Linked DNA regions of Oryzias latipes. The protein of the gene in region 1 interacts with the protein of each later gene in a pairwise test. Links are inferred from orthologs where the notes say so. Each region holds a gene or a part of one and is shown on either strand. Other genes may lie near its edges. The genes, in order: zc2hc1a and cytosolic arginine sensor for mTORC1 subunit 1.

Evidence for each region.
Region 2: the proteins of zc2hc1a (region 1) and cytosolic arginine sensor for mTORC1 subunit 1 interact in binary tests that used the Homo sapiens proteins (3 or more experiments, as listed by UniProt). The two-hybrid records come from large-scale screens. The link is inferred for Oryzias latipes from reciprocal best matches to the Homo sapiens genes ZC2HC1A and CASTOR1.

What each region holds. Positions count from the first base shown.
Region 1 is NC_019878.2:13,233,929-13,244,006, forward strand, and holds the start of zc2hc1a (zinc finger C2HC domain-containing protein 1A), read left to right. Parts: upstream 1-4,733; 5' UTR 4,734-4,831; coding exon 4,832-4,847; intron 4,848-5,455; coding exon 5,456-5,529; intron 5,530-6,651; coding exon 6,652-6,768; intron 6,769-7,534; coding exon 7,535-7,561; intron 7,562-8,734; coding exon 8,735-8,876; intron 8,877-8,995; coding exon 8,996-9,138; intron 9,139-10,078.
Region 2 is NC_019867.2:3,181,877-3,185,944, reverse strand, and holds the start of cytosolic arginine sensor for mTORC1 subunit 1, read left to right. Parts: upstream 1-1,268; 5' UTR 1,269-1,490; coding exon 1,491-1,606; intron 1,607-4,068. UniProt on the Homo sapiens protein: Functions as an intracellular arginine sensor within the amino acid-sensing branch of the TORC1 signaling pathway. As a homodimer or a heterodimer with CASTOR2, binds and inhibits the GATOR subcomplex GATOR2 and thereby mTORC1.

The DNA.
Region 1 (10,078 bases):
TGTTGAAAACGGGACTATATGCATTCAACAATTGTCTTGCACACCACAACACTCTGAGATTCCCAACTGCACTTCAGTATAAAGTAAAGTAAAAGACTGCTAAAAAGAGCAGGGCTGTCATGACCAGTCAATTACTCCAACTGTTCATGTTGAACTGATAAGAAGGAGCTCTTTGGTCAGTCAAAAAAATATTTCAAATACACAGCAATGGGCAACACTGTGTTTGCACTGACCTTTAAAACTCATTCAACAGTTAGAAGAACTCGATTTTAAATGAAACAAATATATGGACAGAATCTGACAGTGTGCCCCAAAAACCACTGAATGCGGTTGTGAAATCATTTGTACCAAAAGGTAAACTTTCTGAGCTAAATAACAGGATAAGTATGCAACTAAAATACTGAGAGACTGTGAATAGACAGTAAACGTACGAAAATAAAAACACTCAAATGCTTTTCTTCATTTTTAGAATCTCTGCCAGTAATGCCTGGTTCTGCTTGTTAGAGTCAATTATGAAAGATGGTAAGAAAATTGAAGGAAACAGCAGCGTAGTTGCCATAGTTATGGTTTTGGTGCATAGAGGACTGAAATCACACTATACTGCTAAAAGATACACAGGATCGCTGCAGGTTAGCTGCCTTCAGCTTGAGCCTCCTCTTCCTTAGCTGAAGAGTCCTGGTTGCTCTCAGAGTCTCCCTGTTCTTCCCCTAACGAACAGAAAAGAGGGTCACGGAGGCCGAGTTACATTCACACAATCTGGCTCGTTGTTTTGACAACCTTTTCTTTCTGGATGCTCCTTGATAGTAATGGAATGGAATTAAATTAAGAAATTATTAAGTAAAATATTGTGAAAGAAAAAGTAAAGATGCAGCGTTGCAAATCAAATATTTGATTCCATGATTAACAGAACAGACTTTTCCCTTGACCCTTAGGTTAATTGTTATTTATTTCTATATTTTTTTTATGAGAAAATGTTTAATTAAAAAAAGTACTAAGAGTAGTTTAATGAGTTAATAACCTTTTTTGAAAACAGTACATTTAAAAATGTAAGTTTTCATTTTTCACAAGTATTAAATTTTCTAAATAAAAGCTTGCAAAATGTCACAATTCAATTCAAAGCTGTTAATGTAATCATGGCTCCACACATGCGTGAGAACTAACAAGTATGAATTAATGAGCCAGAAGAGTTTTGTTTATCTATCATTTTTATTGACTCTTAGTAAACGTTTGTGTAATGAATTATAAATACACAAATTAATAATGAAAAAAAATAGTTTTAGTTTCAATAATTGATTTAAATATTGAAAAAAGGATGCAATGATTTAGTCTTGGTAAGGTGTTTGGCACATGGTAGATGAAAAAAGCAAATAACCATTTTTTTGCTTTTCAATCATCCAAAAATGTGTAAAACTAAAAGCTATTTTTGAGGAAAGCCATGTTGTTGTGTAACATGATGCAGTGCCTTCTGTCATGCATGCTGAGGAAATCATTTACATACATCTTCACCAGTTTTAGGAACAAAAATCTTTACAGGCAACAGACAAGCAGCTGTTTATGTAAAATGTCTCACCGCTCTTGCTGATGGTGAGCTGTGCCAGTCTCTGTGACAGGTCCATGGATCCTTGCAGCTTCTCTGTGGGGATTTCATGGATGGCATTTCTGCGGCCAGACCGCCGGGAAGCGATGAAGTCCTCAAAGCTCACTTCGACATCCGTCATCGCTGACACGCCTCAGCATAGCCCTGCCTTTCAAAGACGCTTACTACAAGCTAAAGAGAACATTAACACACAGAAACAAATTGTAAAAAGTAGCTACTCTGAAGCATGCGAGCAACACAACCTGAACATTAGCGGCTACAGGAGGAAAGTGGGCTCCCCATGCTATTGTCCAATGCACCTCCACATCCTCTTATTTTACAACCTAATCCCTCATTAATCTATATTAATCTTATCCAGTGTTGGAATGACTTCAGAGGCACAGAGAGAGAGAGAGGAATTCTCCCAGCAAGTAATTGGGGAGGAAACATTTCGGAGAACCAAAGGGGAAAGAATAACAACAAAAAAAGTTAAAGGGATAATTGTGACACAAAGAGGAAGAGAGCTGCTGTCTTGCGCGGCATGAGTATGGCCATGATCAGCAGTGCAGCTCTGAGATTTAGGTTAAACCCTTCTGTTGACATTTTAGTGCTCCACATCAATCTGCCTGGATGAGGCTGCCCTTCAGCACTGGGCAAGTGCAGACTGGGTTGCCCCATTTACACTAATTAAAATACGTCAATCTGTTTTTTTTCCCACACACTTAAAACTGAAGGTTACGAAACCAAAAATACCTGTAAACAAGATTTTGTTTAATTTATGGAAACGATGAATTCCGGCAGGGAAAAACTTAAAAATGGCTTCAGCTTCCATCATTTTTAATTAGGGCCATGAAATCCATTATTGAGCATGTCTAATTTTGAATGCCTCATTTCTGTCATCTTCAGCACACGCTCCCACTCTGATGCCATTCGTACAAGTGTTTTTTTTTTTAAGATGGACACAAACTATATCATCCCTATTCTACTGACAGACTAAAAGCTGAGATGGATCATTAAAATCTGTTAACCAATGATGATAAATGTCTACAAAAAACTGCATCAATAGCCTGACCTTACCGAAACTCATTTGACAGATAAATTACTGCATGCCTAAATATACATTGTTACATATTGTTTTTTTACTTGTTTTAGTTTAATAAAATATCTACCCAAATTGTAATAAATAAATAAATACAAGAGTACAGCTCTCTGTAAAAAAAACAAAAACTATTACTGTTTTAATAACATTCTATATGCAAGATATCTGTGCACATTTCTAGGCATAAACCCCTTAAATGGAACACATTTTCATTTGAAATCCCACATATTACATGTTTTTTCCCCCCTTATATATTCAGTTTCATATAGACATAAAACCATGCATGTAGCTAACCCTGACTTCAGATAATCTTGTAAATGTGTGATGAGCTCACTATATAGCTGTTCTGAGTTGCTATTTCATTAGTTGTGCAACCAAATTGGAATTATTGATGAGAGTAGCAGATGACCAAAGACTGGATATATTCTAGAGCACCCAAAACTATTGTAGTCCAACTATTTTATGTTTATATTTTATTTTATATGTTTATGCTATGAAAAGAAAAATGCATCATGATTACGTTATGATTTGTTTATTCATGTTAATAGTAATTCAGTTTCTAATTCAATTTGGTTATGTCTAATTTTTTTCCGTTTGGTTTATTTTTTATTTTATTGTCTTTTTTCTTTTTTTCATCACATTTATTTTTGTCTGATTAAAAGAAAAAGCAAAGCAAATTTAAAATTGACATCGGTCTTTGTTCAGCTTACTAACCTTCACCTCAAGAGAAATTATTGCTTTATGAAGAAAAAACGTTAAATAAAATTAATAAAAAAATAATGAATAAAAAAAGGGGGGGGGGGTTATCATAAACATGTTCATTTTACAAACTGTTTGAATAACTGGCTCCTCGAGGCTGAGCTCACATAAATTAACAGCCATTTGTTTCTCTGATGACAAAGACCCCCACAGTGGTAGGTCAGTGCCTGTGAGCACCATCTGCACGATATTATTGTTTAAGTTACACAGATAAATATGTAAATTCTGCATTTTTTTTGTACATCATAACGTTGATCAGGAAAAGTACCTGTTTGGGCGAAATAATCTCCCTATGCTCGCACTGGTCAGTCAGTCCCATCAGATGGAATTCTGCCACTCTGGTATCCCCGTCTGGTTTAGTGGGATCGCCGTTAAGCGAGAGTTGGAAAATTCCACTTCCGGGTATCGTTTTCAAAATAAAACGCTTTTTTCTTTTCAAGTATGATTTATTTTGTTTTTATTTTTTTACTTAGAGACCCCCACAAAACACAAGTAAGGACTATTATTTTATACTATTAGCGTTGTGCTTGTGCAGAAGAGGGATCACAGAGAGGGCAGTCAGCGAGAGAATAGAACGCCTGTCATGAAACCAGCTGCGGGCTTTTAGGACCGGCCTGTCACAAAGCAGATGTCTGTGGATTCATGTGACACATGCTGTCCTTGTGGCAAACATATCTGTGGAGTGTTTGCACTTTATTTTAAGTGTCTCGACAAAAAAGGCTCTTTGTTTAAATGTGGTTGGTCACACGTTTGAAATGTTACCCCCATATGTTTTGTAAACAATGCTATGGAGTCATTTTGACTAATAGATCGCTTAATGTTTAGTTAAACAATGAATGACTTTTGGGATATAATGATGTTACTTAGGTTTTTCTACTTTTTAGCCTAAAAGGAAGACACATTTTGCGTCTCCTTACACACACAAAACGTCAATATTCCCTTAAAAAATGTGCATGTTGTGCTCCACCTGCTGTTCGCATTAGGATACATTCTGCAATAAAACAAAAAAAGATGCGGAAGTTAAAATATTTGAGAGTTGCCATTGGTTGCCAAAGATAAATCGACTCAAGACAGTTCAATACCGAACTCTGCAAACAAATTAGGTTATCGCCTGGGAGTGGAGGTACCATCAACATGACACAAACAGAGGCCTAAACAAATGTCTAAACAAAAACTTCTATTGTAGTAGTTTTTACTGCTGTATAAATTTTAACATTTCTGGAATGTATATTTATCTATCACATTTGTGTGTCTACAAACTAAATCAAACACAATTTATGGACGACTTTCTTTGTTCCGGCGAAACCGGAAGTAATTTGGAGCGATTCCTCTTGTTCCTCCCGGCTACAATTTGCTCGTGGAAATAACAGTAGCATCAAACAAGGGATAACCTAAGGATGGAAGAATTTGAAGGTAATCTCAGTCCAGTGCTTTATTTTAAATGGATTTTTTGGTGCATTCAAACTTGAATCGTCGCAGTTTTAAACCTCGAAGAGGTTGTGTTTTAATGCAAAGCCGTTTCCCATAGGGAGCTCTTTTTTGTTTGGGATTTAGCCAAAGTAATGCTAGGTAACGTTGGAGCTAAAGATGAGGCTAGCTGTCTGGCTGCATGGGTGTGATTCCTTGAGGGAGCGGCTGTCTAATGTTAGCATAAAAAGACATTAACTGGGTGTTAACTGACGAACCTGGTAGGGAAATAAGCTAAATTAAATGTTGTAGATACTCGCAGGGGTGCAATTATGTACTTGTATACGTTTAGAGACATTTTTATGCCAGTTATTTATATTTACATTATTATTATAGCATTATTTTATTTTTGTGATTTTCTGACATATTGTTGTTAGTCTAATATTGCGAAAATTGATCTTAACAACGCACCCCATGCACAGAAATGTATAGAAAATGTAGCCTTAGAAACTTATTTAACACATCATTTACTATTAGTCAGTCAAAATAAGGATTTGATCTATTTCTATCCACATTTGACTGTTTTCCTAAATAATCTTTATTTTTTTCTGCAGATGCTGAAGCTCCTCCTGTGGGTGAACTGGTCCAATGTAATACTTGCAAAAGATGCTTCTTCCCGAAAGTTCTGGTAAAGAAAAACTAATATCATGTCATCTGTGTTGTGCAGTGTACTATCTTTTGCTGTAATGCATCACATATCACTTGTTATTGTTCAAAAGTATCCCCTTGTAATCGCATTGTTTAAATTCATTCCAATACCTGCTGAAATCAAAACAATATGAGGAAGTAGAAATTATTTTTTTAACAAGTATATTGTTTTTGGTGAAAGCCCAGAAAGCTCAATTGGATTATGCTCAGTTTTTATGAGTTTATCGGATAAAATGCAAATACAGCAGCACAATGAGAAACAGACCAATTAGAGAAGTAGAGGCTTGTTTGACTTAAAAAAAAGAACACACACAAAAAAAGAGAGATAAAACCTTCAAAATAAAATCATTTTGATTTGATCTCACTTTTTTTTTTTTACAAGAACAGGACAAAGTGATACTGGCTCTTTAAAAAAAAAAACAGTACAAGAACATAAAAATGAATAGACTTTGTTTTATTTTGACCAAAACTACTGGACAAGTAAAAAGTAAAATATTACATAAAAAGATAAGTAATTACTTAAACTACTGCATTAGCACACACATCAACATTTTATTGTAATAAAAACTCCCAACACTACATCTCAAACACTCCTAAGACTTGTAGAAGTGAGAAAAATACTCATTTGGATATTAGCGAAGGTAAACCCCGTTATTCTACTTGGGGTAATTAAACACATTTAAAATATTTGTTTCTTCTTTTTATTGCAGTATCACTTAAAATTTATTATTTATGGGCATTATAACTGTTTACGGAAGTTCAGTATTGATCTTAGATCCCAAGCATGTTTGTAAGAACATAGCGCTAATATCTAGTCAACTAAAGATTAATATGCAAAAACTTATAAAAGGGGCTTCAGAGCACTTTTCACATTAATTTCAATTATTAATTTTGAGTTTTACAATTCAATTTACAGTAATAATTTGAATGAATACACATTACCGATGCTATAACAAAAATATGGTTTTATGTAAAAGAAAAGCCACAAAAAAATCCTGAGACTTTGATTGGTTGAACTGTTTTTTATGATAAAAGTCAGTCAAATATATAATGATGGTTGACATATGTTGTTGTTTTTGGACCTGCTTTTCCTTTCCAACAGGAAAAACATGCAAAAATCTGCCAAAAGACAGCAACTAAAAGGAGGAAGGTTTTTGATTCCAGTAGACAGAGGGCAGAGGGTACAGACATCCCCGTACTCAAGCCTATCAAACCAAAGGTAAGCGGTCAGCCCGATCAAGTTACGGAAATCCTACCAATGACAGGATTTAGCTTGAAATATCCAGAATTTGATCCCCTTAAATAAAACTGTATCATGTTTTTTCTTTTGCTTAAAAATATCAACTTCCGCAGTGATTTCTATAATTGTGGATGCAACTTTTGGGAGGCCGGTGACCTTCTTTCCATTTCACATCTTTTAAGGTTGATCCTCTTATTTTATTTTTTTAAATTAATTTCAAAGACTTTTTCCTAGTAGAAAATTTCACTAAATAAATGTTTTTTTTTTAAAATAAATATATATATATGTTCTTTTAAGCAGACATTTCTTTTTATTTTTCACACTTTTGACACATTGCTTCTATAAACTTCAAATAGAGCTTCTTTTTATGTTACAAAAATGTATAAAATGTCCAATTAAGACATCTGCTAATCATAATCATATTTTAATATTCTATGTCTTTTAGACAGCATTAAAACATTTTTTCTATAAAGTATTTTTTCAGATTTTTGCCTTTTATCTTTAACAAAAAAACCCAAAAAAAACTCAATGTTTGTTTTTCCAGCCAGAAGCTACAAGAAAATAAAAGTTTTAGCAAACTTGACTGAACAACAGCAATAAATCATCTGTTGGAAGATTCCGAGTAATGATCCTCCTTTTTGTCATCACCTCCTATATGAATATTTGCTGTTCCTGAGTAGCCATACAGTGTTTTATGGTAACAGCACCTTTTTGTAAAATGTACATTATTTCAATTGTATTTCAGTCACAAAGCTCAGCTGGCTGTCAGAAAGTAAGTAGATTTAGTCTATTTTTTTTTCTTCTGCCTGTCATCCACACACTGTACTTTTTTCTTTTTGCCAATATAACAGCTTTCTACTTTCTTTTCTGAAAAACCCGATTCCTCCTTTCAGTTATTATGACACCGCTGTTTGTGACTTTGACAGCTATAAGAAATAAAATCTGAAAAGCAGTATTTTTAAAGACTTCAACTGTGAAGAAGGGATTTGAAAGTCAGCTAAGCTGACCGCTAAGACGGAATATTATAATATAATATATAGGCCTGCACAATATACCGCAAATTTATCGTTATCGCAATATCCAGCTCTGCAATATGCATATCGCAAAAGACGGCGAATATCGCAATAAATCGCAAACCCAAAATGTGTTAAAACAATCTTCTAGCAGCTTGAAGCATTTAACGAATCAAATAAATCCCTTTATGCTTTGACCAATCAGATGGACGCCTTGCCATTGTTGACCAATCAGATGGAGGCCTATTATGTTAACCCTGGTCCTGAAGAGTCTCAACCCTGCCTGTTTTCCAGCTCTCCTTAACCAGCTTGCTGTTGATTGGCTGACTCAATTGATTTCACATCCTGATTGACTGAACACACCTGATTTTGGTTATCATTATCGAGCAGTCTAGGGAGAATTGGAAAACAGACAGGGTTGAGGCTCTTGAGGACCAGGGTTAGCCACCCTGACGTTTGTCCCCCATGTCGATGAGGGTCATTTGGAGTATAATTTTTAAACTGTTGCAATGAAATGGGAATGATGTTTTTGTTTATTTTTCTATTTGTTTATTTACCGAAAATTTATCGTTATCGCAATATTGATCACTAATATCGCATATCGCAAGTTTTCCTCATATCGTGCAGCCCTAATAATATAATATATCTGCTTTATGTAAAACTCAGCTGTCCCCACTGATGGTGGGAGAGTTTAGATCTGTTATAGCTTTCGCTTGGAGGCAAAACCACCTCATTAAGTGCAACAAGCGTCCCGTTTATGGAAATTCCCTCGCGGATATATGAGAGTCTAGTCTTTAGCTTGAAATGTTAGCATTCAATCTGGCACTGGGCCACTCGGGTTGTGTTTAGTCACTGTCAGGGTCGTTGGAGTTGCCGACTGTATGAAAACAGACTTTGTCAGCAGAATCTGCTGTGGCATGTTGTCCTACCAGGCAGAGCCACCGAAGAAGCCGTCCAACTGGCGCAAGAAGCACGAGGACTTCATCGCCACCATTCGGGCTGCCAAGTCACTCACTCAAGTCATGAAAGAGGGGGGGCCCTTACCCCCACCTCCCCCCCCTTCGTATGACCCAGGTAGGAGATGCTTTTGGGGATAGTTTCTAACAATTTTCAATTTCACTTCTCCATTAGAATTAGATATTTTTTCTGCTTGTGCTGCAAACCTTTTAAATGAAATATTTCTTCCTCTCTAGATTACATCCAGTGCCCATACTGTCAGCGGAGGTTCAATGAGAGTGCTGCCGACAGACACATTAAATTCTGTCAGGAACAAGCTGCCCGGATACCCACCAAAGGCAAGTTAGGCGATCCCAAGAAGACGCCGGGTCGCACACAGGTAAAGAATGTGACTGTCTGCAGAAAAACATTGACTTTGGGCTTTTAAAAAAAAAAAAAAAAAGTCTGCACCTGTACTTTACTGAGATCCATCCATTCATCCATCCATCCATCTATCCAATCCCCAATCCAGCTACGGTTGGATGAAGGTCGCCAGTCTGCTTAAGGGCCACACACTAGCCCTGCACAATAAATCGGAAATGTATCGTCGCGATATCAAGCTGTGCAATACGAATATCGGAAAAGACGGCGAAAACAATAAAATAAATACAATTTACGACAATTAATGGTAAATGTGCTAAAACAATCTTATGGCAGGTTGAAGTCTTTCACGAATCAAATATATCAGTTTATGCATTTGACCATTCGGATAGAGCTCTTTTATGTTAGATCTTCATCTCCTATGTAGACGAAGGTCATTAAGAGTATACTTTTTTAAACTCCATCCATCCATCCATCTTCCTCCGCTTATCCGGGACCGGGTCGCGGGGGCAGCAGACTGAGCAGAGATGCCCAGACTTCCCTCACCCCAGCCACTTCCTCCAGCTCCTCTGGGGGGACCCCGAGACGTTCCCAGGCCAGCCGAGAGACGTAGTCTCTCCAGCGTGTCCTGGGTCTTCCCCGGGGCCTCCGCCCAGTGGGACATGCCCGGAACACCTCTCCAGGGAGGCGTCCAGGAGGCATCCGAACTAGATGCCCGAGCCACCTCAACTGGCTCCTTTCGATGTGGAGGAGAAGCGGTTCTACTCCGAGCTCTCCGCGGGTGACCGAGCTTCTCACCCTATGTCTAAGGGAGCGCCCAGCCACCCTGCGGAGGAAGCTCATTTCAGCCGCTTGTATTCGGGACCTCGTTCTTTCGGTCATGACCCATAGCTCATGACCATAGGTGAGTACTGGAACGTAGATCGACCGGTAAATTGAGAGCTTTGCTTTTCGGCTCA
Region 2 (4,068 bases), on another chromosome or scaffold:
GCATAACTTTGTTACAGACGATCGCATTTCCTCTCACGGATGCTTTTCAAAGGAATTTAGAAAGATGAAAAATAATCAGTTTCTCTGTAAAACGTTTAAAAATTTTAACAGTTCTGGTTCGTCGCCTGTCCATCCCGGGAGAGGATCCCTCCATGTGGAAATCTCTGAGGTTTCCTCTTTCTTTTTTTTCCCCAGGAATCAGTTTTTCATTACCAAGAAGGAGGGTCTTAGTGCAGGGATGCTCAGTGTAGCGTAGTATATTTATTTTAGTTTAGTCATTGCATATTACATTTCATGACTGATTTCATGTTCTTATAAAGTTACCGGTATAAAGTCTGTTGAGCGACTGTGTTGTGATATTGAGCTATATAAATAAAATTGAATTGAAATCAATTCCATTCTGACCTTTTTAACATAAGAAATAGAAAATTGTGCCAATTTGAAACCATCCTCTTGTGGTCATTTGTGGAACTGCAACCTCTGGATTGTTGCGATATCAAACCCAAAGAATGCAGGCTTAGTTCCGCCTAGGTGACCATTTTCTGACATTTATTGTGGTTAACAAAGTTGGGCTCTAAAGTTGTGTCTGAATTTCCTCACCACCCCCAGTTGGTTCACTATTCTCCGTTTTGTCGGGGTGTCTGACACTATGTCCAAAATCTCACCCTAACCCTTAACTACTAAAAAACTATACAGTGTGGCACTACGTGGTGCCCTGAATTTTAAAAGCAATTCAGACACCATGTCCACTACTTTTTTTTTTTTAAAAAGCGGATATTTCTAGGGCACTCCATTTTAGAATTGTACATTCGGACAGCACTACAAAAAGGCGAACGCACTATATAGTGCACTATATAGGAGTTAGGGTGGGAATTCGGACACAGCCTGAATCTACAATTCCAAAATCCAGTTTTCGGGAACTTTCCCAGAAGTCTCTCGGTGTGTGTCAAACCTCACTAGATTGGCGAATACAGGGCATTGAGTATTAACAAATTTTGGTTTAAAACATCAGATCACATTGGATTCATGAATGATTTTCCTAAAAATGTCATATTTGCCTTTCAAAAAATTGCTTTTAAATGGCTTTTAAAATCCAGGACACTAGATAGTCCCACGCCATGCAGATTTTTAGTTTTTAGGGGGTAGTGATGGAATTCGGTCATAGTCAACTTTGGGCTTTTATTGTGGAAAATTTACCACAGTGACGCTGCAGCTTTAAGACAAGGGGGCGTGTCCCCGTGGCTCCGCCCCCTGGTATTAAACAGACAGTAGTTGAGCGGCGCGTCGGATGTTTGTCGTCTTGTCAAACGGGCGCAGCGGGGCGACGTGTTTACGGTGGTCGGTAATGTTCTTCACCGAGGCCCGCCTCTAACCTGCCGGCCCAGAAGACGTTCCCGCTGCCGGCGCCGCGTGCAGGAACTAAGAGCCGCGCGGACACACACACACACAGAGCCAGCAGCCAGCTGAGCAGGCAGCCCGTCCCCGGGAACATGATGGACCTGCACATTTTAGACCACCGGCTGCGGGTCACCAGCATATCCAAGAGCGGACTGGAGCATTTCACACACCCCCTCATCAAGCTGATATTTCTGCGGAACCGAACACGGTAAGGAGGCTCCGTGTCTGCCGGGGTAATCTGGTGCAGATGTGCGAGCTCCAGAGGCATTTAGGCGGGTTGTTTTGTCAGAGCATGTCCTGCTCCACCTCAGTGAATAATCGAGTGCAGTGAATGAGGGAAGCAACCAAAGAAATGTAACTCCTGCTTTTGACAGTAACATTAAAACAATATGTCTTCCTGCTTTTTTCTTTTTTTTAATTGGATGGGTCTTAGCTCTGTTTTAATGCCCCATCATCTCTCCAGTGCCCTTTGACCTCTTCACTCCAAGCTTGCATGGACTTGATTGGTTCTCCACATCTCATATTAGCATTAGGATCCGGCGTTTCCAATCAGTCCCTGAACATCCCACTACTGTCCTGCAGTTTCCTGCAGCTCAACATCTGTCCTCAGACCAGCTTTCTGCAGCCAAACAAAGCGAGTCCAGCATCTGTCTACCTGCAAGCAGTGGCCTTTGTCACCTGGCATTGAAAAACGAGCAAACATCTGTACTCACTTGTCTCTTGACTGTTGAGAAATGTCCTGCAACAGGTACGCTGTGCCAAGGTGGCGTGCACCACCCTTTACTTTTATTTCTGATCCATCAGTGGAGCTGCAGGGCAGTTGAATCTTCATGAACTCCACTTGTTCATCTGTCGTTTGTCCCGATGGTGTTTTTTTGTCTCTGTTTATAGACTTTAAAACTATTTTCATGTTTTGATCTGTTCTCACTTTGGAGTTTCCTCAACATTTTGCATTTTGCTTTTCAGCGTCTTTTGACGGTTATTTTCTGGTCTCTTTTTTTTTTTTTTAAATCAAAAGTTAAAAAAAAAAAAACAAGTTGCCTGCATTCTAAAGCGTTCATGGAGGAAAACCGAGTTTTTTACTGCCTGGGATGGTTAACGCGTTTGTTATTCTACGAAAAACGCTTCAGTGATGGATGAGGCTTCATCAGCATCCATCACTGAGCTGGAGGTTTAAAGTAGTTCTACTCTACTAAGGCCAGCCAAAACCTTTTCCGTAATTGTTCCATCAGTGGAAGGATTGGAAATAAGGCCTTAGTCTCAAGCACCTGCATGCACAGGTGCTGCAGGTTTTTGAGCTGTCCGGGCCCCTTGGAGGGTCGTAGAAAGAAGGGTGTGTTTTGCAGTTCCCTTTAGGCTCGTTGTGGCCACTTCAAGAGACCTCATGGCAATCGATTGTTCCATTGTCATGAGTGTGGTAATTGTATCATGAAGTTTTCGGCACAATACAAAGTCTTTCCCTGGCCTCAAGGCTTCTTCCAATCCCTACATTTAGCCCTCCAAGCGGAGAGTTCCCACGTGAAGCTGATCACCCTCCCGGCGGAGGGATTCTCAGTCCTAAGTCACTTTAGCTACCCCTTTACAAAAAAAACAAGTTCAGACACCTCTACAGCTCCACATACCCCTACAGATGGAGAGGAATCATTTGGATTTGGCCTTAAGGCTCATGGAAGATGCTGATGACGTACGGTGATGCTGTCGTACGGCGCCCTAACACTAGTTGTTGGTACGGTGCGAGTGCTGGCTCTTTACTGGCCGTGTGCAAATGTGATGCGCGTGGGGTTTTCATGTGGTACATAAGTCCCCATAGGACTCTTTTAGCATGTCCACACAAACAACACTGTCTGATTTCCTGAATCCTAGGAGGCGGGCTGCACAACAGGACCGCACACTTGTCAGAAGGAACAGCACTAGCGGACTCGTTGGGCAGTCTGCAGGATTCGATGCGGGTTGAAAAAAGAAAAATTTGCACGACACGTCTATGTCTCTCCTACTTTACCCTTACTGACCTTCACGCGATGAGTAAGTGTTCACTACAACCTGTCAATCACCGTACAGGTTTGCCCATTTGTCCGCTGCAGATGGCCCGTATCCACCTGTAAGGCCAGTTGTGACTAACTGTTGAGATTTCTTTCATTGTTTGTAGTTTTTTTTTCATTTGAAGCCTTGCATCTTCTCAGCATTTTTGATCCCCCATAATGTCAATGTTTCCTCTTTAGGCCCCTCATGTTCTGAACAAAGCAGAGCTGAGTCAGGAGCTCAGTTGGGAGTTTTCCACTTGTCTGCTTCCATGGCCCTCCGACGTTGGGGAGCTCTCTCCACTTGCATCAGGCAGCTGGAGCCTCATTCTTCATCATCAGCTTTCCCAGCTCTTATCGTGTTTCTTCAGCTGGAACATCAGTTACCCCCCCCCCCCCTGACTGACACCACCTTCAGGAACAGTCCTTCGCCCTCCTGTTGTTTCGTGTAGCTGGATCAAAGTCCAGAGCATTGTGTGTTCAGTTCTCGCTTGGCCTGCCGCTCAATACCTGTTGCTTCCACATCTCTGGTGGTTCCTGCTTCAAGGAAAGAGTTTGTTTTTTTCCCCGTCCCATTACACAACATTTGATCCCGCTGAGGACGGGTTTCTGCAAGCACAACAACAAGAAAAGACAAAGTCTAAAATTAAAA